Linked DNA regions of Coturnix japonica. The main gene of each other region encodes a partner of the protein of the gene in region 2 in a complex. Links are inferred from orthologs where the notes say so. Each region holds a gene or a part of one and is shown on either strand. Other genes may lie near its edges. The genes, in order: DBN1 and ZMYND8.

The links.
Region 1: the proteins of ZMYND8 (region 2) and DBN1 are in contact, whole or in part, in a crystal structure (PDB 5Y1Z), measured with the Homo sapiens proteins. The link is inferred for Coturnix japonica from reciprocal best matches to the Homo sapiens genes ZMYND8 and DBN1. Residues at the interface, in NP_001350670.1 of Homo sapiens: Gln167, Pro168, Gly169, Thr170, Gln236, Ile237, Val240, Lys243, Ile244, His247, Trp269, Leu285, Gly287, Phe288, Phe307, Gly309, Gln310, His311, Asp312, Ala314, Thr335, Lys336, Ser337, Ile338; in NP_004386.3 of Homo sapiens: Met1, Ala2, Phe6, Ser7, Arg10, Leu11, Leu14, Tyr17, Glu18, Asp92, Ala93, Cys96, Ala97, Ala99, Ser100, Lys104, Glu107, Phe108, Gln110.

The regions. Positions count from the first base shown.
Region 1 is NC_029528.1:11,957,045-11,972,606, reverse strand, and holds DBN1 (drebrin), read left to right. Parts: upstream 1-5,407; 5' UTR 5,408-5,517; coding exon 5,518-5,603; intron 5,604-9,313; coding exon 9,314-9,369; intron 9,370-9,455; coding exon 9,456-9,568; intron 9,569-9,731; coding exon 9,732-9,806; intron 9,807-9,881; coding exon 9,882-10,028; intron 10,029-10,116; coding exon 10,117-10,194; intron 10,195-10,271; coding exon 10,272-10,423; intron 10,424-10,509; coding exon 10,510-10,573; intron 10,574-10,670; coding exon 10,671-10,730; intron 10,731-10,821; coding exon 10,822-10,936; intron 10,937-12,075; coding exon 12,076-12,213; intron 12,214-12,842; coding exon 12,843-12,971; intron 12,972-13,676; coding exon 13,677-14,251; intron 14,252-14,340; coding exon 14,341-14,443; intron 14,444-14,515; coding exon 14,516-14,586; 3' UTR 14,587-15,279; downstream 15,280-15,562. UniProt on the Homo sapiens protein: Actin cytoskeleton-organizing protein that plays a role in the formation of cell projections. Required for actin polymerization at immunological synapses (IS) and for the recruitment of the chemokine receptor CXCR4 to IS.
Region 2 is NC_029535.1:5,073,670-5,089,457, reverse strand, and holds the end of ZMYND8 (protein kinase C-binding protein 1), read left to right. Parts: intron 1-546; coding exon 547-699; intron 700-1,445; coding exon 1,446-1,949; intron 1,950-2,995; coding exon 2,996-3,370; intron 3,371-4,761; coding exon 4,762-4,952; intron 4,953-5,477; coding exon 5,478-5,558; intron 5,559-6,164; coding exon 6,165-6,243; intron 6,244-6,814; coding exon 6,815-7,054; intron 7,055-7,220; coding exon 7,221-7,378; intron 7,379-7,697; coding exon of another isoform or gene 7,698-7,712; exon of another isoform or gene 7,713-8,811; coding exon 8,812-8,906; exon of another isoform or gene 8,907-12,056; coding exon 12,057-12,069; coding exon of another isoform or gene 12,070-12,158; 3' UTR 12,159-12,247; downstream 12,248-15,788. UniProt on the Homo sapiens protein: Chromatin reader that recognizes dual histone modifications such as histone H3.1 dimethylated at 'Lys-36' and histone H4 acetylated at 'Lys-16' (H3.1K36me2-H4K16ac) and histone H3 methylated at 'Lys-4' and histone H4 acetylated at 'Lys-14' (H3K4me1-H3K14ac).

The DNA.
Region 1 (15,562 bases), on a different chromosome or scaffold from region 2:
GCAAACTGGCCCGGCTGACGGGCACTGATGGCTGTAAGTCCCTGCGGGTCTGGGGCTGCCCGGTGGCACTGGGCTGTGGCCGTGGTGGTCCCGTGGTGTTGGTGTGTTGGCCACGTGTGGGTAGTGCTATGTGGGGCCGTGCTGCTGCCGACTGACTCTGTTTCCTCCTTTCTCCCTTCTGCGTTCAGTGGAAGATGATGATGTATTTATTAAAAAGCCCAGGTAAGGGGGGTGCAAGCACAGATTCCTGGGCTGTATGTCCAGGCCTGTTGGCACTGCTGGCACTGCGCTGGGGTGGTTGAGCTGCACTGTGGTCTCTCAGGCAGCTGGGGTGAGCAGGATTGTGCTGGCACTGGCAGACCTTGCTGGGGGTGTTGGGAGGTGCTGTGCACCTTTTAGAGGCCAGGTGGGTGAGCTCTTGAGGCTCAAAGCCCTGCATGGAAGGACACAGATTAGGGCTGTGGCACAGCTTTGCCTTTCCCCCACCCCTCCTGCCTTGGTGCCGTGACCACTCAGTTCCAGATCTGCCTGGTTTGCTCCGTTGCAATTAAACACTTGTGGTTTTTATAGCTACCTCCTTCTTGTCCTTGCCCTCAAGAGGCACAAAGGCACTGGCTTTCCATCTGACACTGTCCTTGCTCCTCTGGGTGCTGCTTGCCCTGGCTTCTCACAAGCCCAGTGCTGGCAGGGTGCTGGGGGGGGCACAGACTTTGCCCCCTCTGGTACCAACCCATCCCTGCCCTTCCTGGCTCTGCTGGAGCTGGCCCAGGGCTCCCCACACTACCAGATGCTGTGTGTGAGGTGGAGGTGTGCCTGGACACTGTCACAATGGAGCAAGCAGCATTGTGTGTGATTCCCCAAGTCCCTGCCAGCCCACAGCACCTCAGCATTAGGGCACAGTGCTCCTGTGCTCCCACCCTGCTGGGTGCCACAGACCTGGGGGTGCTGCGGGGCTGAGGGTGCTTAGCTCCAAGCCCAGCACCAAAGTAGCTACTGGCTGGGCATGGGTGCTTGGCCAGCTCCTGGCTGCAGAGTGGGGGTCCTGCCTGCATGCACAAGCTAGCCTGGGTTCAGGGGCTGAGTGTGGCCAGCAGGATTAACTGGTGGTTTTGTAGCCAGGTCTCCGTACCGGACCCATCCCCGGGGGCAGCAATGAAGACAGAACCAGGATTGGGTGAGAAAAATATTTTCTTTGAGTTTGGGGTGAGGGGAGCGGGGCTATGGGTAGGGCTGGTACTGCACCTCGCCTACCAGTGGGTGCAAAGGGCTTGGGAACATCATCCAAGAGGCTTCTGTTTGTGCAGCCCCCAGGACTCCTGCTGCCACCCCTGGCCCTACCAGCCGCCCGCCCTGGGCTGTGGACCCCTCATTTGCTGAGCGCTACGCACCAGACAAGACGAGCACGGTGCTGAGCAAGCACAGCCAGCCGGCCACGCCGACCCCCATGCAGAACCGCAGCTCCATTGTGCAGGCAGCCCAGCAGGCACCCGAGGGCCCCGGCCGCACACCGCTCTGCTTCAAGTGCAACAAGATCATCAGGTGAGCCCCGGCCTCTGCAGCCCTGCCACCATCCTGGGCACTGCCAGGCCCCGCTGTGGCTGATGTGGCTCTGTCCCACCACAGGGGACGCTACCTCGTGGCCCTGGGACATTATTACCACCCTGAGGAGTTCACCTGCTGCCAGTGCAGGAAGGTGCTGGATGAGGGTGGTTTCTTTGAGGAAAAGGGCTCCATCTTCTGCCCCAAGTGCTACGACACGCGCTATGCACCCAGCTGTGCTAAGTGCAAGAAGAAGATCACTGGGGTGAGTGTCCCTCAGTCTGCCCTGCACCTCCCATCCCTGCTTACCTGTGTGTCCCCAGCTCTGTCCCTTCTCGTCCTGCCCCAGGGGTCTCCGGTTCCTTTCAGCCCTTGCTGGGGTTCCCTGTGGTGTGGGGTGCTCCCTCCTGGCTGACAGCGGTTCTCTTCCAGGAGGTCATGCATGCGCTGAAGATGACCTGGCACGTGCAGTGCTTCACCTGCGCAGCCTGCAAAACTCCCATCCGCAACCGTGCCTTCTACATGGAGGAGGGACAGCCCTACTGTGAGAGAGGTAGGACCAGGGGAGGACCCCACGGCACCCCACACAGCCCCGGGGTGCTGCTCACTGGTGGGGCTCAGCACATGCCCAGTAGCACCGAAGAGTGAAGTCCAGGGTGCAGAGCAGGGAGGGGACCCCCGCAAACCCTCCATCCCCATCCTCCCTGGTGCTGGGTGGTGCCATTGCTGGCATGTTGCCGTGGTGATGATGGATGATTTACATCAAATGTGAGTGCTGCATCCTGGGTGGGGGGATTCACCTCTTCCCTGTGGCCCAGTGGTGGAAAGGGCCACCCTTCCCCAAGTGTCCAGTGCCTTCTTGTGCTTCAAGTCCTGCCCCTCTCCAAAGCTGAAAGCAAGTTGTGCCCAGGCTGTGCTGCAGCCCTGCTGCACCAGAATGAGGGGTTACAGTCTTGGAGGAAGCACTGACCTGTGCTCTGCCTATGTTCACAGACTATGAGAAGATGTTTGGCACCAAGTGCCGTGGCTGTGACTTCAAGATCGACGCTGGGGACCGGTTCCTGGAGGCACTGGGCTTCAGCTGGCATGACACTTGCTTCGTCTGTGCGGTGAGCCATGTTTCTCCCTGCTTCCCCCTGCTGTGAGCTGTGTCTCACATGGGGTGCATGCTGCCATCAGGTTTCCACTTGGCTCTGTCCTGTTAGTTCTGAGCCTGCTGCTCCCTGACATCTGTGCTGGGCTGCAGGGAGGGTGTATGGGAGGGGATACTAGGGGCTGGCTCAGCCCTCCTGACTGCCTGTGCTCTCCTCCCCAGATCTGCCAGACCAATCTGGAAGGGAAGACATTCTATTCCAAGAAGGACAAGCCGCTGTGCAAGAGCCATGCTTTCTCTCACGTGTGAGGGGCAAGAGTTCAGCTGTGCCTGTGCATGCCCCTGGCCCTGCATGCTCCTTTCCCACCCTTTCCCCTGCCCCAGGGAGCCAGGCTGGGACTTCACTCCTACCCCTTGCTCCTGCCTCTCTCCTGGCAGCTCCTGGCCGGGCCCTGGCAGAAGCAGCACTGGCTCCTTCCAGCTGGCTGGCTTCTTTTGTGCCCCCTAGCTGACATAGGACCCTAGGGAAGGGGATGCCACAAAGGTCTCCTGCCCCGAAGCTGCTCAGCACGATGGTTGTGGCCGTGCTGAGGCTGGAGCTGGAGGAGGGTCTGGCTGCATCAGGGCTGCTCCTTTGCTTTGATGGGGTCCGGCTGCCTTGGCACTCAGCACCAGGGCAGGGACAGTCCTTGCCCCCAGCCTCTGCCATACTCTTCCCTCACCTCCTCCACTTCATACTCAGCACACAGGGCTTGAGCACTGGCCCTTCTTCCCCCTGCCTGCACTGACCCCACAGCCAGGCAGTCTGCTACCATGGTTTCCTACCCACCCCCCCATGGCTGCATGTCACAGAGCTAGGGGGGCTGTGGGGCTGCCTATGGCAGCACCCCCGTGCCATGGAGCAGGACTGTGTGCCATGCCTGCCCCCGCTGTAGGCTGGGGGTGCACACCAGCCTCTGGCTAATGGGTTCCCATCAGGCTTGAAAACTGCTTTCTACCAAAGAGCGTGTGCCACTGCTGTCCCAGCACTGTAAATGCCTCTCCCAACCCCCCCACTTTCCAGTTGGGCTGCGTCTGATGTAGCCACGGTGCTTTTAGTGCCTTGAATAAACACTTTTTTGCGAGTGCCCGCTGTCTGGGGACTGTGGTTTTGCTGGGCACGGTTTGGTGGGGGCAGGAAGGTCACACATGGCCCTTGTCCCGCCTGGAGTCCTGCTTTGTTTCCGGGGTTTCCCCTCCTTTGCACCTTGGCAGATCCCTGGGTTGCCCTTGCCTGGTTTTAGCAAGCAGAGAGCAGCGAGGCAGCAATTAATCCAGGGGGCAGAGCAACAGCAGCGCTGAGCAGGAGATGGTGCTGAGCCGTGACCTCGCAAGGGCATCGCACTTAGCCAGCACCGTCCCTGTGTTCCTGCTGTGCCCCATTGCCCGTGCAGGGACCGAGTCACCGGCACGAGCAGCTGGAGCACAGCGGTCCTGGCCGTGCCCCGAAGGACGGACGGGAGGCACCGCCGCCCGGTACAGGCTCTGGAGCGATGGATGTGGGGCCGGCCGCTCCCAGCGCTCCGATCCGACAGCTGCAGCGGTCAGTAATAACTGCAGCCCTCAACGTGATGAGCGATGTATGGAAAATCGCCTCGCTCATCCGCTGGAGCGTTCTGCCGGGGGCAGGAACCCCCGCTCGCCCTTCTGCAGGTGGCCAAGTCCCCCCCGCACTCTGCCCTTCCGCAACCCGCAGCCTCCGCTCCCTTCTGCCGGCCTCACCGAGCGGCCCCCGCCCTCCCCGCGCACAGGAAGGAGGGTCGCGGGTGGGCTGCGGAGGTGGAGCCCGAGGAGGGGCCGCGCCGCTCCGAGAACAAAGCCCCGCGGCTCCCCGCGCCGCCCCCACCCCCAGGGGCAGCTGAGCCCATCGCGGAGCGGCCGCGGCCGGCAGCTGCTCGACAGCTGCTGCCCAAACCCCGCAGCATCGCAGGGCGGCTCCGGATCGGGAACCGCTGCGAGCAGGGCGTGGGCAGGGAGCAGCGAAACGCTGCGTCCCGCTGTACATTGCGCCCACCGGCACCGTGCCCTGACCTTCAGGGATCGGGACCCCGTGTTTAAACCCACTTTACTGCTCGGGTTGCTGCGGGCCCGGCTCCTGCCTGGGTTGGAGACGTGGGGCGGGCAGGGTGATTCCGTGTCTGTCCCTCGCAGGAGGGTGCTGACCCGTGTGGGAGCAAATGGAGACGGCTGCACCTCGGAACCACAGACGGGGGCAGCTTGGAAAGAACTTTATGGGTTCATGCAGAGGCACAACCTGGGGGAGATGATGTCCGCGTCGAGGGCTGGAAGGGCCCGGGGTGGGTTGGGAGCAGAGGGACACATCTGACAGCAGCGGGGATGGAGGGGAGCCCTTCATCCCATTGGCAACCCCAAAGGCTGGGCCTGGAGCACTGAGGGCACAACGGGGCAGAGAGGACAGTGTGGGGTCTTCGGAGAAGAAAGTTCCAGGGCCGGGGGTGCACGGGGTGGGGGAAGTTGAGATCACGGGGATCCCGGGGTAGAGCGGACCGAGGGCGCATCCGCGGGATTCGGGGTGCCCAGAGGGAGCGCAGCCGGGATTTGGAGCCGGGGGTGCAGAGCGGCTCCTCGGGTCGAGCTTCGCGCTCCGCTCCAGGAGCTCTGCCCCTCGGCGGGTGCCGGTGGGGGTGGGTGCCCCAGGGGTCGCCCCGGGGGAGCGGCGGGGGCCGGGGCGGAGGGGGGGCCCGCCGTTCGCGGCGCTAGGACCGGGCGCGGCGGCGGGCGGAGCCTCCCCGCCGCTCGCCCCTCCGCCCGGCCGCTGCGGCAGTGTCTCGGAGGCGGGCAGGCGGCCGGTCCCTCCGGTCCCCCGGCAGCATCCCGGCCCCGCCATGGCTGGCGTCGGCTTCGCGGCGCACCGCCTGGAGCTGCTCGCCTCCTACCAGGACGTGATCGGCGAGGACAGCCCCACCGACTGGTGAGCGCGCCCGTCGCCGCCGCCGCCCCTTTGTCCCCGCCGCCCGGGGCCCTTTGTGCGCGGAGCCGCCCGGTGCACCGAGCGCGACGCAGCCGCCAACACCGGGACCGCGCCCCGCGCTGCGCCCTCCGTGCCGCCCCGCCGCCCCCCGCCACCTGCACCGGGCCCGGAGCCCCGGCACACAAAGGCGGGCGGGGCCGGCGGGACGGCGGAGGAGGTGTGCCCGGCCCAACGCCCCCGGTGCCCGCACCTGCCCGCCGCACCGCACCGCACCGCACCGCATCGCACTGGGCCGGGGCGCGGCCCCGCTTTGTCTGCGCCGGGCGGCACGTGGGGGCACCGGGAGCCCCGCTCCGAGCCCCGTCTCCTTTCTGCTGGCGGCACCGCGCGTGGGGAGCGGCGGGTGGGGAGGGCCTGGGGGACCCTCGGTGCTGGGCCCGGTACTGGGATGCGGTGGAGTTTTGCCATTGTCTGGAACCGGGGGTGGGTTAGCGGGGACGGGGAGCCCTTAGCCCGGTCTCGGCGGAGCCAGGCCCGCAGCTGTGAGGGAACTGGCGTCCCCGCTGCTCCCGGTTCCCGCAGCCCCGGGGGGAGCGCTGGGTACCCGGTCCCCGGGAGGGCCGTGCGGGGTGCCCCGGGGCTGGGATGCGGTGAGCGGAGCAGGGGGTGGCGGCACTCTGGGGTGCTCCACCTGCACCCTGATCCCTCTGGCACCCTGTGCTGGGGGCCTGGTGGTTCCAGGCTACAATGCAGCTTTGATAAGGGAGCAAATCCCACCGCAGCTCCATCGCTGCCGCCCCCAGCGCCCAGCTGCCCTCTGGGACCCCCTGCCCTTGTCCCCTGGGTGGTCGCGTGGGGGTGCTGTGCGCACCCCAGAAGCCGGGACTGGTGCGTGCCATGCGTGCTGAGCTCCTGCCAGGCTGAGTGCTGCTCTCCTGCTGGGTGTCCGCTGGTTGGGCCTGAGCATGGCCCCCCCCCACCAGTCCCACTCTCTGGGTCCCTCCAGCCCTGCTGGTGGCACGGTGGGTGAGTGCGGAGCGTGTTGGTGGCCAGGAGGCAGCTGTCAGCCCCGGGTACATCTGGCTTCCCAGCATCTGCTGCAAAGGATCGTTCCCTGCCAAAGCTGCTGAGAGCAGCAGAATCAATTCCCTGGAAGGCGAGCACTGGGAGTGGGCCACCCCTCTTCCAGTATTGAACCCCGCAGCTCCTTTGTTGTGTCTGAGCCCCGTGCTCCCCATCTCCTCCAGTCCTCCATCACCCTTGGTGCCCAGCGCCAGCAGGAGCAGCATCTCCACTGCAGGGCCTGGTGCCCATCTTCGGTGCAGGATGGGGAGCGGTGCTGGGGGACCATCGTGGCTGGGGGACTGTCCCCAAATGTTGGAGCTGGGCAGGGCGAGCCGGGGCTCTGAGGACGCTGCGCTGTGCGGCTCTAAGCTGGCTCGGGGGATGCCGGGATCCCCGTGGCCACGGGATGTTTAGTCTGGGATTTCCCCCGCCCCAGCCCAGTCCTGGAGGGTCCGAGGCTCCCCTCCCCCTCCCCAGCCTCGCGGAGGCTGCTGGGGCCCATTACTCGATAGGAAAGGAATTTGGTGCTGCTTTCTGAGCACGCCGACTCCCTAGAGCTCGCAGCCACATTGGAAACACATGTGCCCGGGTTGGGGCAGGCAGAATAGGGCACCCCCCCATTCCTGACCCTGCATGGGGGGCAGACGGCTGCGGGAGAACCGCTGTGGTCTGGCACAGAGCAATGGAGGCTGCAGAAGGGCAGTGGGCTCTGCCCCCTTGTCAGTGATGGGGAGATTCAGGTCACAAGCATCCCCTGCTCCCTGCCTGTCCCTGTGTCACCCATGGGTGATGTCAAAGCTCGGGTGCTGGGGAAGCTGCATGGGGGGATGGAAGCATGGAAGGAGATGGTCCGTGGGGTCGTGGTGCTGTTGGTCCCTGCTCATGGTGATGCTCTGGGCTCTGTGTGGGGCTGGGAACACTGGAACTGTCCCTCCTGGTGCTGGAACAGGCTGTTCTGAGGGCAGAACCCGCAGTGCTGAGCTGCAGGAGCACCTCTGGGTGCCAGCAGCAGCAATGTGCTCAGGGTGCTGCCCTACACAGGGGGATGAGGGGGTGGGCAGCAGGCAGCGGGTGCTCTGGCTGCTATGCCTTGGCTGTGCCCTACTTTTGCATCCTGTTCACTCTGCCTTAAGAACCCCACGGTCCTGCCTGCAGCCCCCCACATTGCAGCCCTGTCCCTGGGGGAACAGAGCAGAGCCAGGGCTGGAAAAGCTGCCTTTTTCAGCGCTGTGAAGCCTCCCTGCTGCCTCCAGCCTGGGAGCTGCGTCGGCTCAGGCGGCCGATTAGCGGGATTTGGATGTGCGGATTAAAGTCAATCTTGTTGGTGCAATTATCTGTAGCTCACTGCGAGAGCAGGGCTGGGGGGAGACTGGGGGCTACGGGTGCTGCAGGGCGGAGGGAGCCTTGTTTCCCCCTCTTTGTTAGGCAAGGCCTTAAATTCCTGTTATTTCTCAGCTGGAAGGAGGCAGCTGAGGCCCAGGATGGAGCTGTGTGGCTCTGGTGCGGGGCTCTGCCCATGGGGGGCACCCGCTTTCCATTCCTGCTCCCATCCCTGCTTTCCTTCACCACTTCCACTTCCCATCCTCACTCCCCATCTCCCATCCTCGCTCCCTATCCCCTTCTTGGAAGCCACCAACTCGGGTGGGCTCCTCCCTCCCCAGCACCGCAGGGATTTTGGCTCTGTGTTGCTGCCGATCGGCAGAGCTGCCCGCCCACCCAGCAAAACGATAATCTGGGAGGGGGTTGGGGGGGGAGTCCGGCACGGTTGGCCCCGGCTCCCCGGGCACAGCGCGTGATGGTGGTGGGTTTGGGCGCCCGCCAGGTCCCCGCTGCCTGCCTGCCTCCCCCGCTCCCCTCCACTAATCACCTCGTCATCGGGGCGAGCTGCATCCCAGCTGGGATGGGGGGTTGCCATGGAGATAGAGGATGCTGGTTGCTTAGCAACAACCATCCCCTCGCCCACCCGCCCTGGACCGATTCAGGGCACGGCGTTCTCCCCCCACGTTGCTGCCTGCCCACACTTGGGGACTTGCAGGGGGTCCCGTGGAGCCCCGGGTGGGCTCATTGGGGCACAGCGGGGGTGCGAGAGGGTTTTCCCAGCCGCGGGGAATGGTTTCCAAGGAACAGTCTCCATGACGGCCCCAGCACACCCCGGCGGCACATTGATTTGCTGCCGCTGGAGCTCTGGCGTCCTCCCCCAGCCTGGTGCCTGGCGGGCCAGTGGCTCACGCAGCCAGGAACGTGAGCGGCCCCATGCAGGCTGTCCCCAAAGCCAGCTGACCCCATGGGACTGCAGGACAGGGATGGGTGTATGGGCAGCTGGGAGCACTGCGTCATGTGGGATGAGTGCAGCAGCACCCAGACGGTCCTTGTGCCGAGTGACCCTTCTGTGCCTGTCCTTGGGGCCTCGCTCCATAGCTGTGAGCTGTGCGGTGGAGTGCCCTGCCCCATATTCTGTGTGCAGGAGAGCTGCCCTGTGCTATGGAATCTGTGCTGGATCCTTTGTGTGATGGTGGATTAAGGGACCTTTGGCAATGCCACTGGTCCCCAGACCCTGGCTTGGGCTCAGTGTCAGCAGCAGAAGGGGAGGTGGGGAGGCTGCCTCATGCTGTGCAGAGCCATTCTTACCCCCTGCACTCCCCCAGGGCCCTCTACACATATGAGGATGGCTCCGATGACCTGAAGCTGGCAGCATCAGGAGGTAAGGTCATGTCACCCAACCCCCATTTCAGCCAGGGCTCCTGGTACAGGGCTGCCGTGTGCTGAGAGTGCTGTGCACTGTGCCAGGAGGGGGTCTGCTGGAGCTCTCTGGGCACTTTGAGATCCAGAAGGTGATGTACGGCTTCTGCAGCGTCAAGGAGCCCCAGGCCGTGCTCCCCAAATATGTCCTCGTCAATTGGGTGAGTTGGGCAGCGTGGGGACACCTCCTGCTGAACACGGGGTCCTGAGCCAGGGCCACTGCAGAAAGGCACAAAAGAGTGACCACGGGGGGTGCAGGTTGTCAGCGGGGTGGTGGGGGCACACTGACCCCCCCCTGGCTCAGCACCCCCCTGAATGATGTAGGTGGGTGAAGATGTGCCCGACGCCCGTAAGTGTGCCTGTGCCAGCCACGTGGCCAAGATCGCCGAGTTCTTCCAGGTGGGTGATGTCGGGGATGGGGACTGGGCCTGCTGCGGGGGGGTCTCTGATGAGTTTTGCCCCCACCTCCCCCAGGGTGTGGATGTTATTGTCAATGCCAGCAGCGTGGAGGACATTGACCCAGGGGCCATCGGGCAGCGGCTCTCCAATGGGCTGGCGCGTGTCTCCAGCCCCGTGCTGCACCGCCTGAGGCTGCGTGAGGACGAGAATGCCGAGCCCGTGGTAACGTCCCCATGTCCCTGTGGTCAGGGTATCCCCTGCACTGACCCCAGCCCTGTCCTTGACACCCTCTGACTCTGCTCCATCTCAGGGCACGACCTACCAGAAAACCGATGCCACCGTGGAGATGAAGCGGCTCAACCGGGAGCAGTTCTGGGAACAAGCCAAGGTGGGACGGCGAGGGATGGGCGGAGGGCACGGGGTGTTCCATGGGATGGGTTGTGACCCCACGTCCCATCCCTGCAGAAAGAGGAGGAGCTGCGCAAGGAGGAGGAGAGGAAAAAGGCGCTGGATGCGCGGCTGCGGTTCGAGCAGGAGCGCATGGAGCAGGAGAGGCTGGAGCAGGAGGAGCGCGAGAGGCGCTACCGGGAGCGCGAGGAGCAGATCGAGGAGCACAGGCATGGGGCCAGCTGGGGGTGTGAGGGTCGGCGGTGCTGGGGGGTGGAGGGAACCACGCTCAGCTCTGCTCCTGGCCCCATTGCAGGAGGAAGCAGCAGAGCATGGAGGCGGAGGAGGCCCGGCAGCGCCTGAAGGAGCAGTCCATCTTTGTAAGTGCCGCGAGGAGCTGGGAACTGGGTGGTGGTGGTGTCAGGGGTGATGGTGTCGGGGTGATGGTGTCGGGGTGATGGTACCGTATCTTTGCAGGGGGAGCAGCAAGAGGAGGATGACAGGCAGCAGCTCCGGAAATCAGAGTCAGAGGTGGAGGTGAGCTCAGCACCCAGAGCTGTCTGGGACCTGGTGTGGGGCAGCCCCCTGCTGCCTGGGCTGGAGGTCCCAGCCTTGCTCCTCCCTGCAGGAGGCTGCTGCCATCATTGCCCAGCGACCCGACAACCCCCGGGAGTTCTTCAAGCAGCAGGAGCGGGTGGCATCGGGCAGCAGCGACGCCATCTCGCCGGGCAGCCATAGGACAGGTGAGGGGCTGAGGAGCACAGGGGGGGTTCAGTACACGAGTACATTGCCACCGGGGCACTCGCAGCTCATCCACAGAGGGGTGGGTGTCCTCTGCTGCCACTTTTGCTGTGGTTCTGGGTACTGGGAGGACTGCTGTCATTCTGCTCAGCACCACCACTGTCACAGCTCCTCAGATGGGCACCTGCTGCCACTGGGACAGGGCTGGGGCTGCAAAGAAGGGGTCCTGCAATGGGGGAATTCAAACTGCTCATGGCTGGGTGCCCTTTGCACCTCCTGGCAGCATGGTTCAGCTGTGGTGGCATCTTGGGGACTGCGTGCTGGCTTGGGAAAGAAGCTTCGACAGCTGAAAAGGGGCAGAGGTGGGGCTGAGGCTGGACGACTGCTGTGGGGCTGATGTGGGGCACCTGGTGTGCCCCTGGCTGGATGCATGTGGCACATTGTGTATCCCACAGTGTACGTGCCCAAGGGTCCCCATTGCTTGTACACAGCAGGGCAGGATGCCCATTCTGGGTCTGGTGGTACCTGCTGGCCCTGGCAGCAGGACTCTCAGCAGACTATAGGTGGGGTGGCTGGCAGGGGGTGCTGGGCTGCCCCACAGTGCAGGGTGCAGCCCTGGGGCTCTGCTTGCAGCTCTGGGTGCTGGCTGTTCTGGTGGGTGCCTCTGCCATGGGGACACGCTGTGGGGCTGTGCTGTGGATCACGCTGCGGGCTGTGCTGGGGGCTGTGCTGGGGGGAGCTGTGCTGAGTGTTCTCGCTGTGAGGCAGTGCTGTGGGGTCATGTCTTGGAGCAACACTGTGGAGCTGTGCCTTGGGGCAGCACTGTGCGTTTTGCTGTGGGCTGTGCTGTGGGTTCCTGCTGTAGGGATGCGCTGTGCCTGAGCAGACAGATGGCCCCGAGGCTGTGTCCTGGCCCCTTTGCCCACCCGGCCTTGGTGCTGCCTCCCGTCCCGCCGTCCTTCTGTCCTGCCGTCCTGCTGTCCTGCCGTCCTGCTGTCAGTGCTGTCAGTGCTGCCTCCCTGCCGTCTTCCCCATCCCGGTGCCTCGGTGTCCCGGCCCCGCCATGGCCACTCTGAGCAGGGACTGACCCATCTCTTTGCTCTCTCTCTCTCCGTCCGTCTGTCTGTCTTTCTCTTGGCAGGTCGTCTGCACTGTCCTTTCATAAAGACAGCTGACAGTGGGCCGCCTTCTTCCTCCTCCTCCTCCTCCTCCCCCCCGCGGACCCCCTTCCCCTATATCACCTGCCACCGCACCCCAAATCTCTCCTCTTTCTTCCCATGTAGGTAGCTGGGAGCCTCTGGGCACGCAGCCCCTTGGCCCTGCACCCCTCCCCAGCTCTGCTGCTTGTGGGACCAGGGTGCAAGGACAGAGCCGTGGGATCAACAGCCAAGCACAGGGGGCCAAGGGGCAGCTCCTGTGCCCCGCGATGCATCAGGAGTCAAATGGGGACAGGGCAGAGCCGTGCCCAGGGATGTGATGCTGCGCCTGCGGGGCAGCGAGGGATGGATGAGGCTGTGTCCAGGACCGTGTGGAGCTGTGCCCATGGGGCAGGAGGAGGCACGTGGTGCCGTGACCCTCCAGCTAGAGAAAGTGGGCACTGTGTGGTGCCTGCAGAGAGCTGAGGCTGTGCCAGGGTTCAGTGGGGCAGTGTATGGGCAGCGTGTGCCAAAGCAGGGCTGGGGACTGCAGCTTGTGGGGCTGCCCAGAGGGGTGCAGGGCTTGCTGCACCAGGCCTCCCTCCTGCTCAAGGAAGGGACTCGAACTGGGGGGGATGGCTGTGTTGCAACGTGCGTCTCACAGCTTTTGGGCAGAGCGCTGTGGGGCGCTGGGGCGCTGCTCCCTCCCCGTTCAGGTGTTCACCCCTCAGTGCAGGCGTTTCCCCCCAAGCCGTGTCTCCGTTGTCTGCAGGCAGCCAGTCCGACTACCGAAAGGTTTCGGCAATGGGCTGCAGCCCCTGCGAGTCCAGCCCGGCCTCCACGCCGCTGGGCGAGCAGCGCGCCCGCGCCACGGCCGAAGAGACGCCGGCAACGCCCAAAGGTGGGCGAGGGACTGGCGCTGCCTGCTGCATCCCCCCTCATAAACCTGCATCCCCTGCTGCTGCATCCCAGGGTCCCCTTTGCAGCTCTCAGTGCATCCTCGCCGTATCGCCCGGTGCATCTCATGCGTCTCTGTTGCATTCCCACCGTCCGTGTTGCATCTGCGCCGCATCCGCTGCTCCCTGCTGCTGCATCCCCACCACCACTGGTGCATTCCCTTCATACAATGCTGCATTCCTTGCTGTCTCTGGTGCAGCCCACGGTGCACTCCCCATTGTCTGCGCCGTGTCACACCAGTGCATCCCCCACCATGGCTGCCATGTTCCCAATGCGTCTCTGCTGGATGTGCCGCATTCCCCGGTGCATCCTTTCCTTCATCCACTGCATCCCAGGGAACACATCTGTCCTGCTGCACCTTCTGTTGCAATTTTTGTCTCCTTTGTTTCCCCTGGTGCATCCCTGCTTTCCATTGTGCACTTCCGCCCCTTTTCCTCCCTTTGCCCCCCAGCTCCCAGCCCTCTCCCCTGCCTCCCCAGTGCTCCTCTCACCCCCACCGTGTCCTACTGCCTCTCCAGAGAACACCATTACCGCCCACCCATCCCACCTGCCCTTCACCATCATCTCCCAGCCCAAAGCTCCCCCCACCTGCCCCTCAGTCCTCAGCCATCCTTATGGTGGGCTCTGACCGCTGTGCCCCCCATTGCAGACTCCCCCAGCCCCAGCACCCAGGTGGCAGAGCTGGCGGTGACCGAGCAGCACTGGCCCTTCCCTGGGCCTGAGGACAAAGCTGCAGAGCCGCCAGGAGACGAGCCCGACCCCAACCCCAGGCCGGCATGGACAGCAGGGGCTGACGTGCTGGGGGACCTGGTGGCCCTGGAACCCTCGGAGCCATCCCCAGCGCCCGCTGTGGCCGACCCCCAGCCTGCGGAGACACCCGCTGTGGCCGAGCCCCTCATCGAGCTGTGGCAGAGTGATGGCGCAGCCCCCGCTGCCACCAGCACCTGGCCCCTGCCCGACACCCCTGCGGGACCCCCGGCTCCCCCCGAGGAAGGCACGCTGCTGGGCCTGGACGAGCTGCCCGAGCCCCCCGCCACCTTCTGTGATACGGAGCAGCATGGGGAGGTGGTAGAAGAGGAGGAGGAGGAGGAGGAGGCCACGGCGGGTGGGCCCCATCCCACAGAGCTGGGCTACCAGGAGGGCTACCAGGAAGGCCACGAGGTGCCCCCCATCACCAACGGGGAGATGGGCCCCAAGGACGGCACTGCGGGCCGTGGCGAGCAGGTGAGCACCATGGGGGCTGCGGGGTCACGGCACAGCGGGGTGGGGGTGAGGGCACAGCGCCTGCAAATGGCGGCACCCAAATCCCGCAGGCCAGCGAGGGCTACTTCAGCCAGTCCCAGGAGGAGGAGGCCCCGCCGCCCGAGGAGCCCTCGGCCAAAGCCCCGCAGCCCATCTTCTACAACAAGCCGCCAGGTGAGTGCGCGCAGCAGGAACAGGTATGGGGGGGTCCAGTCCGCGAGGTGCCCCCTAACCCCATCCCCATAGAGATTGACATCACGTGCTGGGACACCGACCCGCTGCCCGAGGAGGAGGAGAGCTTTGGGGGCGATCTGTAGGCCCAGCGCAGCATGGAGGCCCCGCCGGCGCGGGGTGCGAGCGGCCATGGCTGGGGACCCCTCCCTGCTGGGGCCCCGCAGGATGGAGCCGGGGGGGCCGCCCCGCAGCACCCCGGGGTGCCTTTTTCAGCCCCCCCGTCTCTTTCTCTTTTATAAGTTGTCGGTAGGAGCCGTGTCAGCCCTCCCCCTCCCCTCTCCCCTCCCTCTGGCCCTGTGAACCCCTTGTAGGCCCCTCCCCACCCCAGCCCCCCGTTCTGGGGGGGGATACATGAGACCCCCGTGGTGCCCGGCTGTGGGATGGGGGCCCCATTCTCTTTTTGTCCCCCTCCCCCCTCCCCAGTACTTTGCACGAGTTAAAAAAAAAAAAAAAAGGAAAAAAAGAAAAAAAAAGAATAATAATAATAATAATAATAATAAATGAATATGGCAATAAAGTGACCCTACCGAGGCGAGGCTGCGGCCGGTGGTGCCCCCACCCCAAAGCACTGCAAGGTTGTGGGGATGCCCTCCTCACCAGGACCCCCCCAGCGCAGGGCTCGCCCCGTCCCCATTTCCCTCTCCCTGCTTTGCCCCTCGCTTGGCCCCCCCCCCTCAACCCCCCCCTCCATACGGTATAACTGTTTTTTGGAAAGCACAAGTTCTGTAACGGCGGCGTGCTGATGTATGTTAATAAATAAAGCGACTCCCGCGGGGGCTGCTGTCTGATGGGGGGGGTGTAAGGGGAGGGGGAGAGGTGCGGGTGTGTGTGGGGGTTGTTGTGGATGTGGGGGGGGTTGGTGTGGATGCTGGGGGTCCCTTTGCCCCACGTGGCGATGGATCCGAGGCGAGCCGGATCCACAAACTTTTATTCTCAAACTGTAACAAACAAAATAAGAAACAGAGCAGAGTCTGAGCCCGGCTCCGAGCCCCCCCCGGCCGCGGGGGTGCCAGCAGGGGATGACAGGTGGGGGCGAGAGGGGGAACCAGCCCCTTCCGC
Region 2 (15,788 bases):
AACAAGGAGGAAGGGAAAACAGTGGAAAGGAGCCATCAGTTGTTGCTGGTAGACTGGCTAAAGTGAAAAGTGGAGGTGTGAATAACCAAGATATACACAGATTGCTTGGAAAAAATGTATAGTACAGGACCTGTCCTTGTGAAATGGAGACAGAAAAAGACAGACAACTTTAACACAATAAGGAGTGAAATTCCTGAGGTGGATGATAAGAAACAGTGAAGACTTTGGAGATGAGAATTTGAAGATTTCTCCTCAGGGGGTTTGTCTGCCCTCCGGCTCTGGTTTCTTACTGCAGCGTTAATGAGGCAAATCAGAAACTTGGGTCTTCTCAGTGAGACCCCCCTTGTGGGCAAGACAGATAAATTTGGGCTGTGAGACTTACTTCCATGTTAAGATGCAGGACTCCCTGGGGAGGTGTTACAGTGTCTCTTTGTCCCCATTTTTCACATTTCAGGTTGTCTGTGCTGTTACTCAGTCAGCTTTCTCTCACGTGGACGGTGACCTTTCTTCTCTTCATAAAACATTTTTCTCAATTCCTTTTCCTAGATCGAAGCAAAGCTGAGATGGATCTGAAAGAGCTGAGCGAGTCGGTCCAGCAGCAGTCCACCCCTGTGCCACTCATCTCACCAAAGCGACAGATACGTAGTAGGTTCCAGCTTAATCTTGACAAGACAATAGAGAGCTGTAAAGCACAACTTGGTGAGTATCCCACGTCTGCAGTGGAAACCTGGAGCTCACAGTTGAGAAAATGTTGAGTTGATAAAATCTTGAATTTTATTTTCTGACATTTCTGATTTTTGCCAAAAAGCTTTCAGCTTTTGTTCTGTTTTTGTACCATTCTGATGTAGGTGGTTGGACAGATCCATACATGTACTGCTGGCTTTGTACACCAAAAAAACAAAGATCAGTGCCTAACTTACGTTAGCTGCACAGATTGTATACCCAGTCACGCTGTTAAAAAGCACTAACACTGCCTAGCATTTAATTGAAGATTTCCTTGGCACTAAAAAGTTACAGGTTCTCCTTACAAAAGTCATGCAGTCTGAAGCTGATTCTTCAAACATGACTAGAAGTAACTGCAGTCAGTTGAGTGGTGTTACTAATTTTAAGGTGGTTTCTTATAGTTACTGATCATTCCTCTTAATATTTGCCAGTGTTGGTACAACACTGAACAAAGCTACAGCTTGTAGGTAGTGAAAAAGCGTTGTATCAAATAAAAGTAAGAATTGGTATATATGGAAGGTAATTCTCGCTTATCCTGATACTGAGATAGTGCATTAAGGGAGAGGCTGATAGCTGAAGGATTGATGGTTAGAGTAGTGGTACACATATACTTTGTTCTACGGAGGGCTGGGTTTGGGGTTTTGCCTTTTTTTTCCTTTCTCCTCTGGTAATACCAGTCAGTCTGATGTTAATACGGAACGTTCTTTCCTCCCCACCTTTAGGAATAAATGAAATATCTGAAGCTGTTTATACTGCAGTAGAACACAGTGACTCTGAAGATTCTGAAAAGTCTGACACCAGTGACAGTGAATACAGTGATGAGGATCAGAAATCAAAGAACGATCAAGAAGATGGAGAGGATAAGGAAGGTACAAGAAGTGACAAAGAGTCATTAAGCTTGAAAAAAAAACTGAAGCCCCCAGCGCAGAATGAAGATAAGGAGGAACTTAAAAGCACAAGCCCAGAAGTGGAGAAAACAGATGATCCAGTGAAAGAAAAGGCAATTACAGACACTGACAAAGAGTTTTCTGAAAAGGGAAAAAGTTTGCAACATCCTGCAAAAGAAAAACTGAAGGGTAAAGATGAAACAGACTCTCCAACAGTGCATCTCGGACTGGACTCTGATTCTGAGAGCGAACTGGTCATTGATCTGGGAGATGATCATTGTGGGCGTGAAGGACGGAAAAACAAGAAAGAATCAAAAGAACCTCCTCCTAAACAAGATGGTAGGATAAAATTCTGAATTATTTCTTCCTTTATCATTGCGCTGTTGCTCCAGTCAGAGCTGTTAGCTCTGATTTTGCATTGAGATGGTAAAATATCTGTGCTGCAACATGATCTTCATGAATGATTTTCCATTCTTTCTGAGTAAATGATATTTTCAGCCCCTGTTATAATTTCTGGATTAAGTTTTAAAAAAAAAAAAAAAAGTATTCCCATACACGTCCCAGAATCGCAGCTGTTTAATCACTGGAATTTTTCAGAGATACAAATAGTCTGAGTTCCAATTGAAATTAGTGCTTTCAGGGGGATGGGAACTTTTATGCTTATGCAGGGGAGAGAAAGGGCTCTAAACCTTAAGGGAAGGGGATTATCAGCCCAGGGAAGACAGTTCTTTGATCAGTGCTAATGTTTCGCTGTCAGGCTGCACAGCAAGAGAACGGGATCTGATACACAGAACAGTGGTCTATAAGCTCTGGGATGACAGGTGTAAGGGGTAACCTAGAAACATCTTAACGAATGATAACTTCTTGTTCTTCCAGAGAGGTTTTTGTTTACAAGCAGCCAGGATGGGCTATGAAAGGCTTGATTAACATGATTTATGTCTGTGGCATGATGGCTTCCTGAAAGGAAGCTGCAGTGAGGAAGGTGTCAGCCTCTTTTCTCAGGCAATAGGACCTGAGGAAACAGTCTCAGTTTCACCAGTGGAGGTTCAGATTGGATGTAAGGAAAAATTTAATCATGAGCAGGAGAGTGATCAGGCATTGAAATGGACTGCCCAGGGAAGTGGAAGAGTCCCAGTCCCTGCTGTTATTTAAGAGATGTGCATTTGTGACACCTAAGGAACTTGACTGGTGACGGAGCACAGTAGGTTGGGTTGGCAGTTGGACCTGGTGATCATGAAAGTCTTTTCCAACTTAGATGAATCTATGATTCTTTTCTAATTCCATGAGAATTTCTATTCCGGAAGGTGAATCTGACTTTTCAAAAATGTGGTGTAAAATTATGAATCAGATTTGGTGGTGAAAAGCTGACGTTACATTTTGTTTAGTTGTAGGTAAAACTCCACCTTCTTCCAGTGCAAGCACCCAGCCCCTACCAGAAACTCCAGTTCTCACCCGCTCTGCGTCCCAGACTCCACCAGCTGGTGTGACAGCAACTACTAGTGCTACTTCTACTGTCAGTGCTCCATCTGCAGCCACTGGAAGCCCTGTGAAGAAGCAGAGGCCTCTGCTGCCGAAGGAAACTGCCCCTGCAGTGCAGCGAGTAGTGTGGAATTCTTCAAATAAATTTCAGACATCTTCTCAGAAATGGCACATGCAGAAGGTGCAGAGACAGCAGCAACAGCAGCAGAATCAGCAGTCTCAGTCACAGCAACCTCAGTCCTCTCAAGGGACAAGATACCAGACGAGACAAGCAGTTAAAGGTACACACTTTCTAACTCAATGTGCCCATGATGCCATAATCCCCCAGTAGTGATGTCAGTGCTCCCAGCTGCATAACCAGGAATTCTTCCATGTAAACAAAATCTCAGAGTGTGGTCATTCTTTGATAAATGACTATGAAACACAACCACATACTCACCATACCTGCTCTTTCTGGTGTGAATTTAGAGTCATATCTCCTTATTTGAATGACAGACTGTCTGTGTGTGTATCTGCAAAATATCCTCGCTGTTCTTAGCCATCAGTTTTGAAAGACTAAATTGAATTATTTTCTGGATTACACAATGAAATCATTGATTCTGTTTCAGTTGCACAATTACCACTGTTACCTCAGATCTACAGTCTGTACCCAGTTTTATCTGCCAGGAAGCTGATTTGTTTAATCATCGTAGCTGTGTTCTGTATTATATGCTAGAAAATATCACATGAAAACACTCTAAAATATATAGATTTTCTTATACACTGAATTGATGTTCAATAGTACACAGTTAAATTGAAGAACCATTTTATTTCAGTAATTTCTCTTTTGAGGATATCATCAACTGAGATCTTTAATAATGTGAATTGTTAAAAATGAGTTGGAAACTAAGGCAGGTACACCATTAGGGATGGAAGGCTGAGGCTCTTCGTGTCCTGGTTTGGGCTCTTATTTTTGAATCACCAGCTGTTTTAAGATTATTTGAAATATTGGCAAGTGTGACAAAGCCATCCTGCTTACTGACTTCCATCCCACTTGAGGTAACTGTATATCAATTCTTTGCTTTAACGAGTTAACCTCACCTTACATTCCTTACTCTCCAACCAGAGGCTAAGTTTGAGCTGGGTGTATTACATTACATGTCAGAACACAAAACTAACAATAATTAGTAGCACTAATAATGAATGCAAATAACACCAGAGAGTACAACTAAAATTCTTCCTAAAGCTCTCTTCAAAAGTAGCTCAATAAATCTTGTTTCTAGTGAAACAAAGTCCATAATGTTCTTTCAAATGGTGACAAATGAAAATGTTTAAGATGGGTTTATGCTCATACCTATGGGACTAGTTGGGAGCTCTCCAAGTTGGGAGATTAGGAGGTGGGATGGGAAAGTCCCACGATGGGCAGAACAGATCAGAGGGAGACTTCTGCACTGACCAGTCTAAACTTGTAAGTTTTGAAGTTCTTTGCTGTATTGTCCTCGAGCTGTATAATTGTACATGAGTTCAGTGGCTGGTTGTTATAAAATCTATTTGATAATTGGCACCTTTGTACAAATAGGAACAATCTTGAAGTTTTCTTGGTGCATAATTTAATGAACATTAAAGTTAGAAGTCACCTATTCATTTTCACAATCATTTGTGATTAATGATGTGCTCTATGTTCTTTCCATAGCTGTGCAGCAAAAAGAGATCACCCAGAGCACTTCCACATCAACCATAACCTTGGTTACAAGTACTCAACCTATTTCTATGGTCACAAGTTCTGGATCTGCAAGTACACTTTCTTCCTCACTTAATACAGACTTGCCAATCGCTACAGCTTCAGCTGATGTGGCTGCAGACATTGCTAAATACACGAGCAAAGTAAGTTCTCAAACAAGATTTCCTTAAACTTATTTTTATAACGAAATTCAGAGCTTTTAAAATTCCAAGTTCTGAAATAAAAACGTTATTTAGAAATTAACAAGCAGTAGGTAGAACCAGTTAGACTCAGCTATTACTGTAGGAGTAGCTGAACAATGTCATTCTAAGCCAGATGCTAAGCATGGCATGCTCTGGCTGCCCAGGCACTTCAGACCTTTTCTCTCTCCTATTTCCCCATTACTTCTGTTGGTTACATTGCATCATGTTTTGGACAATTTTGGTATTTCCCGGAGGTGTAGGTATCCTCACCACCACAGTTACAGTAGGCACTAAGTATTGATCGTGTGCATTCAGTAAAACACACTTTTTCTACTGCCTAAAACAGTCCTTCAAAAGGAGATTCATAAAAACATATATATATATATATATATATATGTATATAGATACTAATAGTAATACAGGTTCACATTGGAGTGGTTGAAATGGTTATTAAGGATACATCTAAAACTTTTATTTGTCTTTCAGATGATGGATGCCATCAAAGGAACGATGACTGAAATATATAACGATCTGTCAAAGAATACCACTGGAAGTACAATAGCTGAGGTTAGTGTGAGATTGGAAGGGAGTCTGTGTAACACTTAGAAGTTGTAAAAAAAATTTTGTGCATAAAAATGCCACGTAATCACATACTACCATAAGAGTTACATGATTATGACCACAGATATAATACTTCTTTTTAAGTTTGCTGACCGTATTATCATGGTTAAATATATAATCTTTAGTTTGTATTAAACAAAACAGGGACGTTGCAGTTGGGAGCAGCGGTGTCTGTAGTGAATGAAAAACTCGCTTTCCTAAGTCTGGGCTCATTGAAATAAAAGAATCAATGAAATGGCACATGAAAAAATACAAGCAAAACTTAGAAACAGGTTTTTGACTGTGGTTAGAGAAGTTGGAGACCTGACGAATTTTAGATGTAAGACCAAGTTTAATGGAAGTGGTTTTTGTTTTCAAACAATCTGGCACTTTTTATGATTGGAAAACATTCAAATTAGATAGGATACCTATTACCCATGTTGTTAAAAAGGAGCCTTAATGTAAGTGACGATCAAACTCTTTGTTATAGCCTTGGTTTTTTGTGTAATAGTTCTGTTATATTCTGTACTCACTACCAAATATTAACATTTAATATCTATCTGTAATATTCAGATTCGACGTTTGAGGATTGAGATAGAAAAGCTTCAGTGGTTACATCAGCAGGAACTCTCAGAAATGAAGCATAATCTGGGTATGAAAAAGACAAACACAAAATCTGAATGCTTGTCATATACATTGCCTTCATCATAGATACTGTGGATTGTCCACGTGAAGGGTCAAACACCTTGTAGGATGTGCTGTCAGTATTAGTGGATGTCATTTCAGTCCATACACAGATTACTTTTATCTGTGCACAGTAAACAACATCCAGATTTGAGACCCTCTAAAAAACCTGAAGGTTCACAAGCTCAGGGGACCTGATGAGCTGCTTCTGGAGGTACTGAGGAAAGTGGTCAATTAAGTTGCTAAGCCACAATCTGTATCTTAGAGAAACTGTGGCAGTGAAGTTCTGACAGACTGGAAAAGGGGGAACGTAACTCCCATTCCTTTAAAAAGGAGAAAATGAAGAGCTGGAGAACTGCAGGCCAGTCATTTTCACCTCTGTGCCCAGCATCATGGAGTGTAGTAATAGGCAGTGGCTTTAATGGAAGACTTGTGTTTGCTGAGTGGATATGAAGCAGATATACCTAAGTTTGGGGAATATTTTATTAGCTTTCATTTCATGGAAAGGCAAAATTGATTTATCTTTGTATTTTGAGTAGAACTGACAATGGCTGAAATGCGTCAGAGTCTTGAACAGGAACGAGATCGTTTGATTGCTGAAGTGAAGAAGCAGCTGGAAATGGAAAAGCAGCAAGCAGTGGATGAAACTAAAAAGAAGCAGTGGTGTGCCAACTGCAAGAAAGAGGCCATTTTTTATTGCTGTTGGAACACGAGCTACTGTGACTACCCCTGCCAACAAGCTCACTGGCCTGAGCATATGAAATCTTGTACACAGTCAGGTAATCTTGCTCTGGTTTGCATGTTGCACAGCTGAGGGGAGCTCGGGTGGGTGGTAATACACAGTGATTCAGTGTTCGTCATTTGCATGTATGCAGATATGCCTGTTAGGATTGATTGAGGACTGGTGCACGAGAGTAGTGGCTATTCTTTCTTCTTTTTCTTTAGCTACTGCAACACAGCAAGAAACCGATACTGAAATTAACACAGAAACATTAAATAAATCATCCCAGCCCAGCTCAAGTGCACAGCCCACGCCCACGGAAACAGCCAGCACCCCCAAGGAAAAGGACATTTCAACTGATAAAAGCAAAGAAAGCGTTACAGTGAGTATTACTGCGGTCACTTGAAACAAAAATAGTATCTAAGAGTCCTCTGAAACCTGCCCCTAAAGGCCTCCCTGGGTCAGCTAGGAATTTATGGCCATTTGCAGGTTTCAAGTGTGTGATTTGGGGAATAAGAGAGAGAATTGTGGCTGTTTGTTTGTTTGTTTGTTTGTTTTTCCCCCTGTCATCTTGGGAAAAATCTCCTTCTGTCCTCTGGGAACACCCTTTCCCCTGCACTCATTCCCAATAAGAACTTGTGTTGGCTTGACTCATCCTTCCAGCCAAGGGGGACTGGACCTCTTTCTTTCTCTCTCTCCAGGACCCATCAGTGTAGCTTCTGGTCTGGATCTTTCGATACAAGTTGCCTTCTGATAAGCAATACTGACTGCAGCACTTCCAAGCCCTTCTTGCCTGGAGGTTCAGAGGCCAAGCTCAAGACCTGCATTCAAATCAACTTACTTTATCACAACAGACTGCCGATAGGGTACCGCAGTGTTCCATAACACTGATACAACAGTCCACCTGGATCTACAGTTAACGGAGCAGTGTACAATTACGAAATCCTCCATAGCATCTACTCTGATAGTATTCAGTAGGCAAGGATGAGCGAACGCTCTACTAAAAGGGACTTAACATTGCATATATAAAAAATGTTTATAGAGAAGATTCTGCTTTATAGGTAGGGCTTGACTATTAGCAATTTCAGCACCGTTTTTCTTCTGCCCTTGCAAGATTTATTAAATGAAAAGTTTTATGGGGGGGCTTATCCTTCAAACCCTTTACACTTGATCCTCTACATCAGTAGGAGCCTTGTTGTATTTTAAAATATTAAAAGCAAACTAATTTTGTAGTATTGTGATTCCAGCATGATGTCTCATTGAGATAGTTCTTCTAGAATTGGGAAGCATAGTATAATAGAGAGCTGTGTTCATTTCTTGACACTTTTGCTACTGTCTGGTGTTAGATCTCTGGGCTTGACATGTCATCTAAGGGAGTAACTTGAGAAACAGACTTAAAGAAGGGATAAAGGATGTGCTGTCCCACCTGAACCGGGGGGAAGTTCTTTGAACTTCTTTGTCTCAGTTGAAGCTCGTATGTATTGTCTGTGGCAGCGCGACCTTTGTACTACTGGGAGAAAAGGGGATCAGAGAAAATCAATTGCCTAAAACTTTGGCCAGGGAATATTCCAGTTATACTGATCTGGAATTGCTTTCACGTAGGTATTCTACCTGAAACATCATGCTGTACACATTGATCATGTTCATAATTTGAATTTTGCTTTATTAACAAAGAATTAACCTGTGAATTCATTAAGATACAAATTTTTAGCTCAAACAAAACATCCATCATAAATTTCATAAAATAATAACGACTAGGTGGAATTCATGTAAAAGCTGAGACTTTTACTGAGGTTGCCTGTGCTGTCTCTGCAGATAGCAACAGGTGTGACAAGCAACCAGCCTATAAAACTGGTCCAGGTACCGCAGACCACCACCTATATTCCAACTACTCAACACACAATTGTAATGTAAGTACTAATTCATCATTTAAAGTCTGCAGTAGTTCTGTTCCTGGCATTAAAATTGCACAGTATTTCTGGGGGGTTGTCTCCATTTGCTGTTCTATCAAGATATGAATTCACTGGTGTAGTTTCAATTTGCAGCGCAAAATGTCCTATTTTGCTGTGCAACATTCCACCCTTCCATTTCATCACTGATTATTACAAGGATTCAGGAGCTCTCCTTAAGAACAGTGAGGCACTGAGGATAGTCAGACTTCCATTTTACATTATTGTGTTAGTTATTTGTCCGTTTCATGTATATACTTGAACACGTCAATGTAAATATATAGAATTCATTTAAAGTATCTTTTAAATATCTTTTTTTTGTCTATGGTATCCTAAAGAGATTTAACCAATTCTGAGCTATGCTCGATACTCCCGTGACATCTCAGTAACTATGAAAGAAAAATATGCATTCATTGGTAGCGTGTCTCCCATGCAGTCTTGCACATTAGCATTGTGAAATTGAGAAATAGCATTGAATTCAGACCTGTTGTTTTTTTCTTTTTTTTCCATTGAGAACTTAACCAAGGACACTTGAATACCCTTTTATCAGTCACTGGAGATGGGACAGCAGTGAGTTTGGTTTTTATGTTTTGCGTACCGTAATGTCACGTTCTTTCAGCTGGTCGTGTTGTGCAGTGTTCACTGCAGGGTCAGCGTGGAGTCTGAGCTGACCTCTTACCAAACAGAGAAACGCTGATCCTGCAGTGCTGACTGAGCTGCAGGCCTTGTCTCACGCGGTGCGCTCAGCTGAGAAGCCCACGTTTAGGTAACTTCAGTTAGTTTTCTGACTGGAACTAGAGAATAGAAGCGCAAGTTTAACATTGTGACTGTGAGGCCTCATTAGCTGAGTCACTTTCTTTTGCGTTGTGTACACACACGGATACACGTGCACCCGCACACACTGCAGCATCTGCACACGTGTGTGTAGGAACACACACACACACACAGTGTTTCATAGCCATCACATTCAACAGGAAGAATTTATTCTCAGTGGATATCATGACTTATCACATTCCTAAGCATTTACACTCGACTTGTTTGTCCCGTCTGAGAGCACAGTGCACCTTTGCAGGATTGGCCCGAAGTCATTTGAATTGAATTGCTGTAACAAGTTTTTGTGTGTTTGAAGTGGAACGGCGGGCATGGCAGATGTTAGTCTCTGTTGTGAATAGTTGAGAGGTGCTAAGATCGCAAAGTGGCTTCATGTAATGTTCAGAAAAATGGCAGTGACCCCCATCAGTTTTCTGTAATACAGAATATGTTGAGTGATGTGAAGCGTAAGTGGAACGTCTGAAGGCTTCGACCTTTATTTGTGCATGTTCAAAGCGTGGTACACATTTGCATTAGCCTTGCACAGCTACAGACACCTCTGTACTCTAATGATTGCACGTGCAGTTTAAATACTTTTAAACCTTAATGCATGTTTAATATGTATGCAAAATGTACAAATGTGAAAAGCTGGCAGAGGTGGAAAATTTACCTCTCAGGGAAATGATCCTAATGCATTTAAGGAGTCTTGCACATTCCATATCCCCAGCACTCCAACAACTGAAATTAATTCTTTCAGTTGTGTAAGTGTGTATATGTAAAAGACAGCTGTGGCGACCTTAATTTCCCCACCTGTAGTGCTAACAGTGATGTTCATAATGGCTTCTTTTGAGTTCAGTTTGCACTTTGTTCCCAACCAGGCATTTCCTCCCTCTGAACAACTTTCAATACATCTTCTGGGTGCTGTTTCCATTGACCCCTCTTTACACCTCTGAAATTCATCATCAAATGACAAAAACCTTGAATTTATTCAGAGAACTGATTTTGGGTTTGGTTTTTATTCTTTCTGTGGTTAAAATGCCATAAACATTTAAATTCATTGTCCTTGCGTTCCAGGGGATGTTATGAGTAGGCTTCTGGAAGGGCACGGATTGTGTCACAAAGGAGCTGGTCAACACGAGGCTGTAACCCATCTCAGTAGGGATATTCTCAGTCTTTCCTGAACACCATCAAGGCACTAATGTGGTTTCTCGGATTGATGGGGGGAAGGCATTGGGCTTCAGTGAAGTTGTGTGTTGTTCTCCCGTGTTCGCTTTGGAAGCTTACACTGACCTTAAGGGGGAATCCTGGGCGTCCCTGTCAGGTTTCTCATATTCTCACTCCTCGTCTCTTCCACAAAGTGTTGTGAACTGAACTGGATGCGTTTGTTTGGTCTCCAGTTGTCCAGCACTGCGCTGTATCAAAGCATGATTCCAGTTTGTGCGGCATAACGTTCCTGAGCTTCCTCACGTTTCTGTAGGAAGGTTAAGATTCAGACTTAAGATCCAATAAATCCTTCTCCAGACGTTCCAGAGTGATGTGACATTGACCAGATTGTTTAACATTCTTGTGCCTTTGTCTCTGCATCCGTAGAATCCATTTCTACCCATAGAGATGTCCTGAAGCTTCATTTGTTAAGATTTATAGATCATAATCTGTACGATGGAAGTGAAAATTTATTCTATATGAGTATTTTTGCAAGGAGTGTGAGCCAGTTCCCAGAAATGCTGAAATGCTGATGGTTTCTTTATCAACTTGTGCAGAAGTTTAAGTATTTTTTTTTGGTTTAAATGGATGTTCTTTGTTCTCTTCTGTGTAGACTGAACGCGTGGGGGAATTCCTTTGTGGGGAGGTGGGGAGATGTAAGGGGTGTACTTACAGACAAGGGTATTTTTGTACTCCAGGTTGATTTGGTGGAACTTTTTCAAATGACGGAGGATTTTCTTAGCCCTTTTTTTTTTGTGAATTTATTTGGGGAAAATACATAACTGGATGTAGTAGCTTTGAAAACCTAATTCTCCAAGCATAGGTAGGGTGTGTACAGTACCTATAGGAACAGCTGGTCCCAGTAATTATAAAGGAACAATTATACAGGAAAAAAACCCAAAACCCTCTTGGCTATAGGAAAGTAATACACTACTTTCTGCCTTGGAATGAGGTAATATTGTGGTAATAAAGGTATTAATCCTTGCACAAAATTGGAGCTTGTTCTGGATTTTCCCTGGACGATAAATCTCTATTTCTGTGGTCATGTTTATATGACCTCTAACATAACAATATGTTTCTCTTGGTTTTAATCCACAGACCATTCCTGTAGCGGTAAGTCCTTCTGCTGGGACAGTGGCAATGAGAACTGGAGTTCAGTATGTTCAGACCACAATGCCAGTCCAAGTACGAAGAGTCTAACTGCTAACAAGAAGTCCATACAATTGTTGGAATATATAAATCTAATAGAAATGTGAAAAATAAACACAGTTCTTTGGATTAACCTCAAAGGTTCAGACTTAAGCTTTGTATAAACGTACAAAGCATTAACTACACTACATTAATGTAAAGCATTAGCGCTGGCTTAGAAAAGCTGAGGACAGGTAAGATCCGTGTCAAATCTCTGCCTCTTTTGTAAATAATGTACAATTTGTGGATGTCACTGAAGTTAGAGTTCCATCTCCTTTTTATATTTGTATGACTTTAACTTATAAAGAGTGTTTGAAGTTGGAAAAGAAAGGTTTAAAGCAGCCTTATCATAAGCTAACACTGAAAACTGGTCTGGGAAAATGGCAGTCGTGCATCAAATAACCTGAAGAACCTGAACAACTCGATTTGCATTTGGATGAGAACCATTTCTGCACTTGGAGACTCTTGTAGAATTCAACCAAATGATGAAGGCTCTCTTTCTTTCTGTTCATTGTGTTAGGCCAGTTCTGACATTTCCCGTCTGTGGACCTGAGATACGTAAAGATTTGCGTTGTTTTTTTTTACAGTGACCAGACTGTTAAAATTGTTTACAAGAAACAAGGTGAATTTCATTCAGGTTGATATGTGAGGAGTTGTGCAGTGTAACACCAGCTGGTTGGTGCCGTGCTGTCGTATCACTGATTTCACAGAGGAGAGGGTTGTTTTCTTTTTCCTATTCTTCACAGTTCAGTTTTCTTCCTTTTATCTTTTATTTTTAATTCTAATCCTCTACAAAGGACTTTGAGAAGCTTTTCACGTGGAACAAGAGCTTGGGGTGTGGAGAAAAGCATGGATCAGGAAACGCGGGCAAAGGACTTCTGATGCTGGGCCAGAGCATGTATTATTTATATGATGGAATTTATGTTTTTATGTAAGCATGAAGCAGTGCAGTATGAGAGAAAGTAACCCATGGAAATGCTGTCTGTTACACTTATACTGTAGTACCATTTTGTACGTTGTGTAAAACGAAAGCATTGAACAAAGCAAAGGTGATGTATGTATATGAGAAAATTAATGTATGATATCATTCCAGTACATTCTGTTGTACATTTTTAGTCATGTTGATTTTTCCCATTGTTTATAAAAGATTGCGGTCTGTACAGTCTCCAGCTAGAACCCGAGTTAGGGGGAAAGTCTTAGAAGAAAAAGGCGAGAGCAGAATATTCGTGAACTGCAGTTGTGTCAAAAATAGCCTAGCTGGCCTTATTTGTGAAGCATAATTGCTTTTAGCATATGGAAGTATTTTTTCACATTTTCTTTGTATAAAATTTGTATTAAACTTAAATATCTTTTTTGAAAGTGGTGTTTCTCTGTGACTAAGAGCTGACGCGTGGTTCGCTTTGGGTTCCTGCAGTGTTCCAAGAAACTTCACAGCTTTTTATTAAACCGTTTTAGAAAAGTGCTTTGTGTTCCTGGATTTCCAGTTCCATTCAGTCTGCAGTGTGACACCTGGTGACGTTTATTAGCAGAAGAGGTCCGGTGCTTGTTGTGTTACACTGACCGCCTTTGCATCGGGGCTGGATGGGAAGGATAGAAATAGTAGATCCAGTCGTGCTCAGTGTTTGTGAGCTGAGATGGGGGCTGCCTGCTGAGCAGTGCTGCAGTCCTCTGAGAGGGCAGGAGCTGGGGCAGGGCTGCTGTGTGTTCCATAGGGATCTGATGGAAGAAACAGTGCGAGCCAATGAAACGGCTCCTTATAAAACCCGGCTGTTCAAGTACCTGCTCATGTGGTTATTTTGTTACAGGCACTTATAAAACAGACAAAGTCAATGTTCTCAGTGCTACTGCTTAAAGAGAAGCACAAATATTGCAAGCCTGGAATGATGTTCTGAAATGTGGCTGGAACGTTGGATTAATAACATTGTGACCTCCGTCACTGAAGAAATAGAAAGGAGGTGAGCGATTCAAAGAGGCTGAGAACACGCAGTGCTTTCTGCAGCCTCTATTCCAGTGATTATTTTCCTTTTAGATTTCAATAACCAGTGTTTTTTTTCTTTCATGTGGAATCATGGATGACGGATCCCAGCAAAGACTTGTTAGCAGGCCAAGATTCAAGGAATCTCAGATATATTGGTGACCGCTTTTAGTCCCGTTTTGGCTGGTTATGGTGTGAAGTTCTTTTTTTGTTTGTTTTTTTTTCCCCCTGAAGATTTTAACTAAAAGTGAAGGAAGAACACATCCCTGGCTTGGACATACAGGGGGAGATAACACTGATGTGATATGAGCATAAAGGGTAGGCCCCTACTTTAAGGTGAATTACTTATATAGAGAGTAGCATCTCTTTTCCTTGGGAGCTGAGTTCTGGAACCATCAGTGGGTCTGGAAAATTACTTTGTTCTGATTGTAGACTTCCTGATTTTCTGGAGACAGACTCCATCCTGGAGGGTCTTCGCTTGCATTGCAGTGACTGCAGGGAGGATGGTAATCCTTGGTCTTCAGCTGCTGTGGGCACTGTGACTGATGAGAAGCCTCTGGGGTTGTGTGTTATCTTGGGAAAACTTCACTCATCGGCTGCCCCAGGTTTCCTGTCTTCTGTTATAACCTACTAAGAGGCATCTGGGTGCATTAATGCTGGTATCTCTGGTTTGGGGCACAAAATCATCTTTTCTTGGAGTTTGAGCTTAGAAATTTCTGTATTATGATCTTCCATTCTCACTCAGGCCTCCACTTGGTTAGGATGGACGATTGATGCTGGTGTTCTTCATCTGGGCCAGCTGAATCCAGAACTTTTCTAAGCAGTGGCAATATTTTCCTCACTTTAATGCAGCTTCAGGAATCCTACGATGTTCAGAAAGAATGTGCTAATGTCACATTCAGGATGCTCTGACGTTTGCTTTAGACCCCAGATGGTGAGGGCTGGATGGAGACCAGAGCAGTCAGTCCTTCCAGAGTCGCAGGCTCTCGTCCTCCTTGGCACTGGTCGGTCAGTTCAGGTGTGCTCAGCCGAGTCTGTCAGCTCCGCGATGCTTGTGTCTGTCCAATCGTATTTCCTACAGGAGAACGGTGAAATGCTGAGAGCTGCTGTTTAGCTCACGCTCACCAGGTAAGATGGCAGCGACTCCGGCGTTTTGAGATGGACTGCACTGAACCAGGCTGTCACTCAGCTGTGTACAGGAGGCTCGTGGTGAAGCCCAGCTGCCCTCTTGTGGTTAAACGTGAGAATTTGCAAGGAAAAAATTCAACACGGGAAGCTGGTAAAATAATTCCCACGTGTTTTCTATCTGCAGCGAAGAAGCACGTTTCTGCAATAACCTTCATGGCAGGTTTGTGGTTAGGTGACAAAATTCTGTTATTTCAGATCCGGTTAATGATGTGACTGAGCAGGATCTTATGCTGTGATACTGTGTGCAAACGCATTGAAACAGGTGAAAATGCCAAGCAAAGTGTGTGCGTGTTCCCTAAAGCCTTATGTGTGTTTGTGAGTAAAAAGCTCTTATGGGTGTGTTTGCAGGGAGGTTAAAATGCTGAGCAAAGCCTGTGTGTGTGTGTGTGTGTGTGTGTGTGTGTTTTCTGTGTGTGCTCACGTGTAAAAAGCTGTTAGACACCTTCCTGCCATCGGATTCTGCAACAGTGAACCTCGAT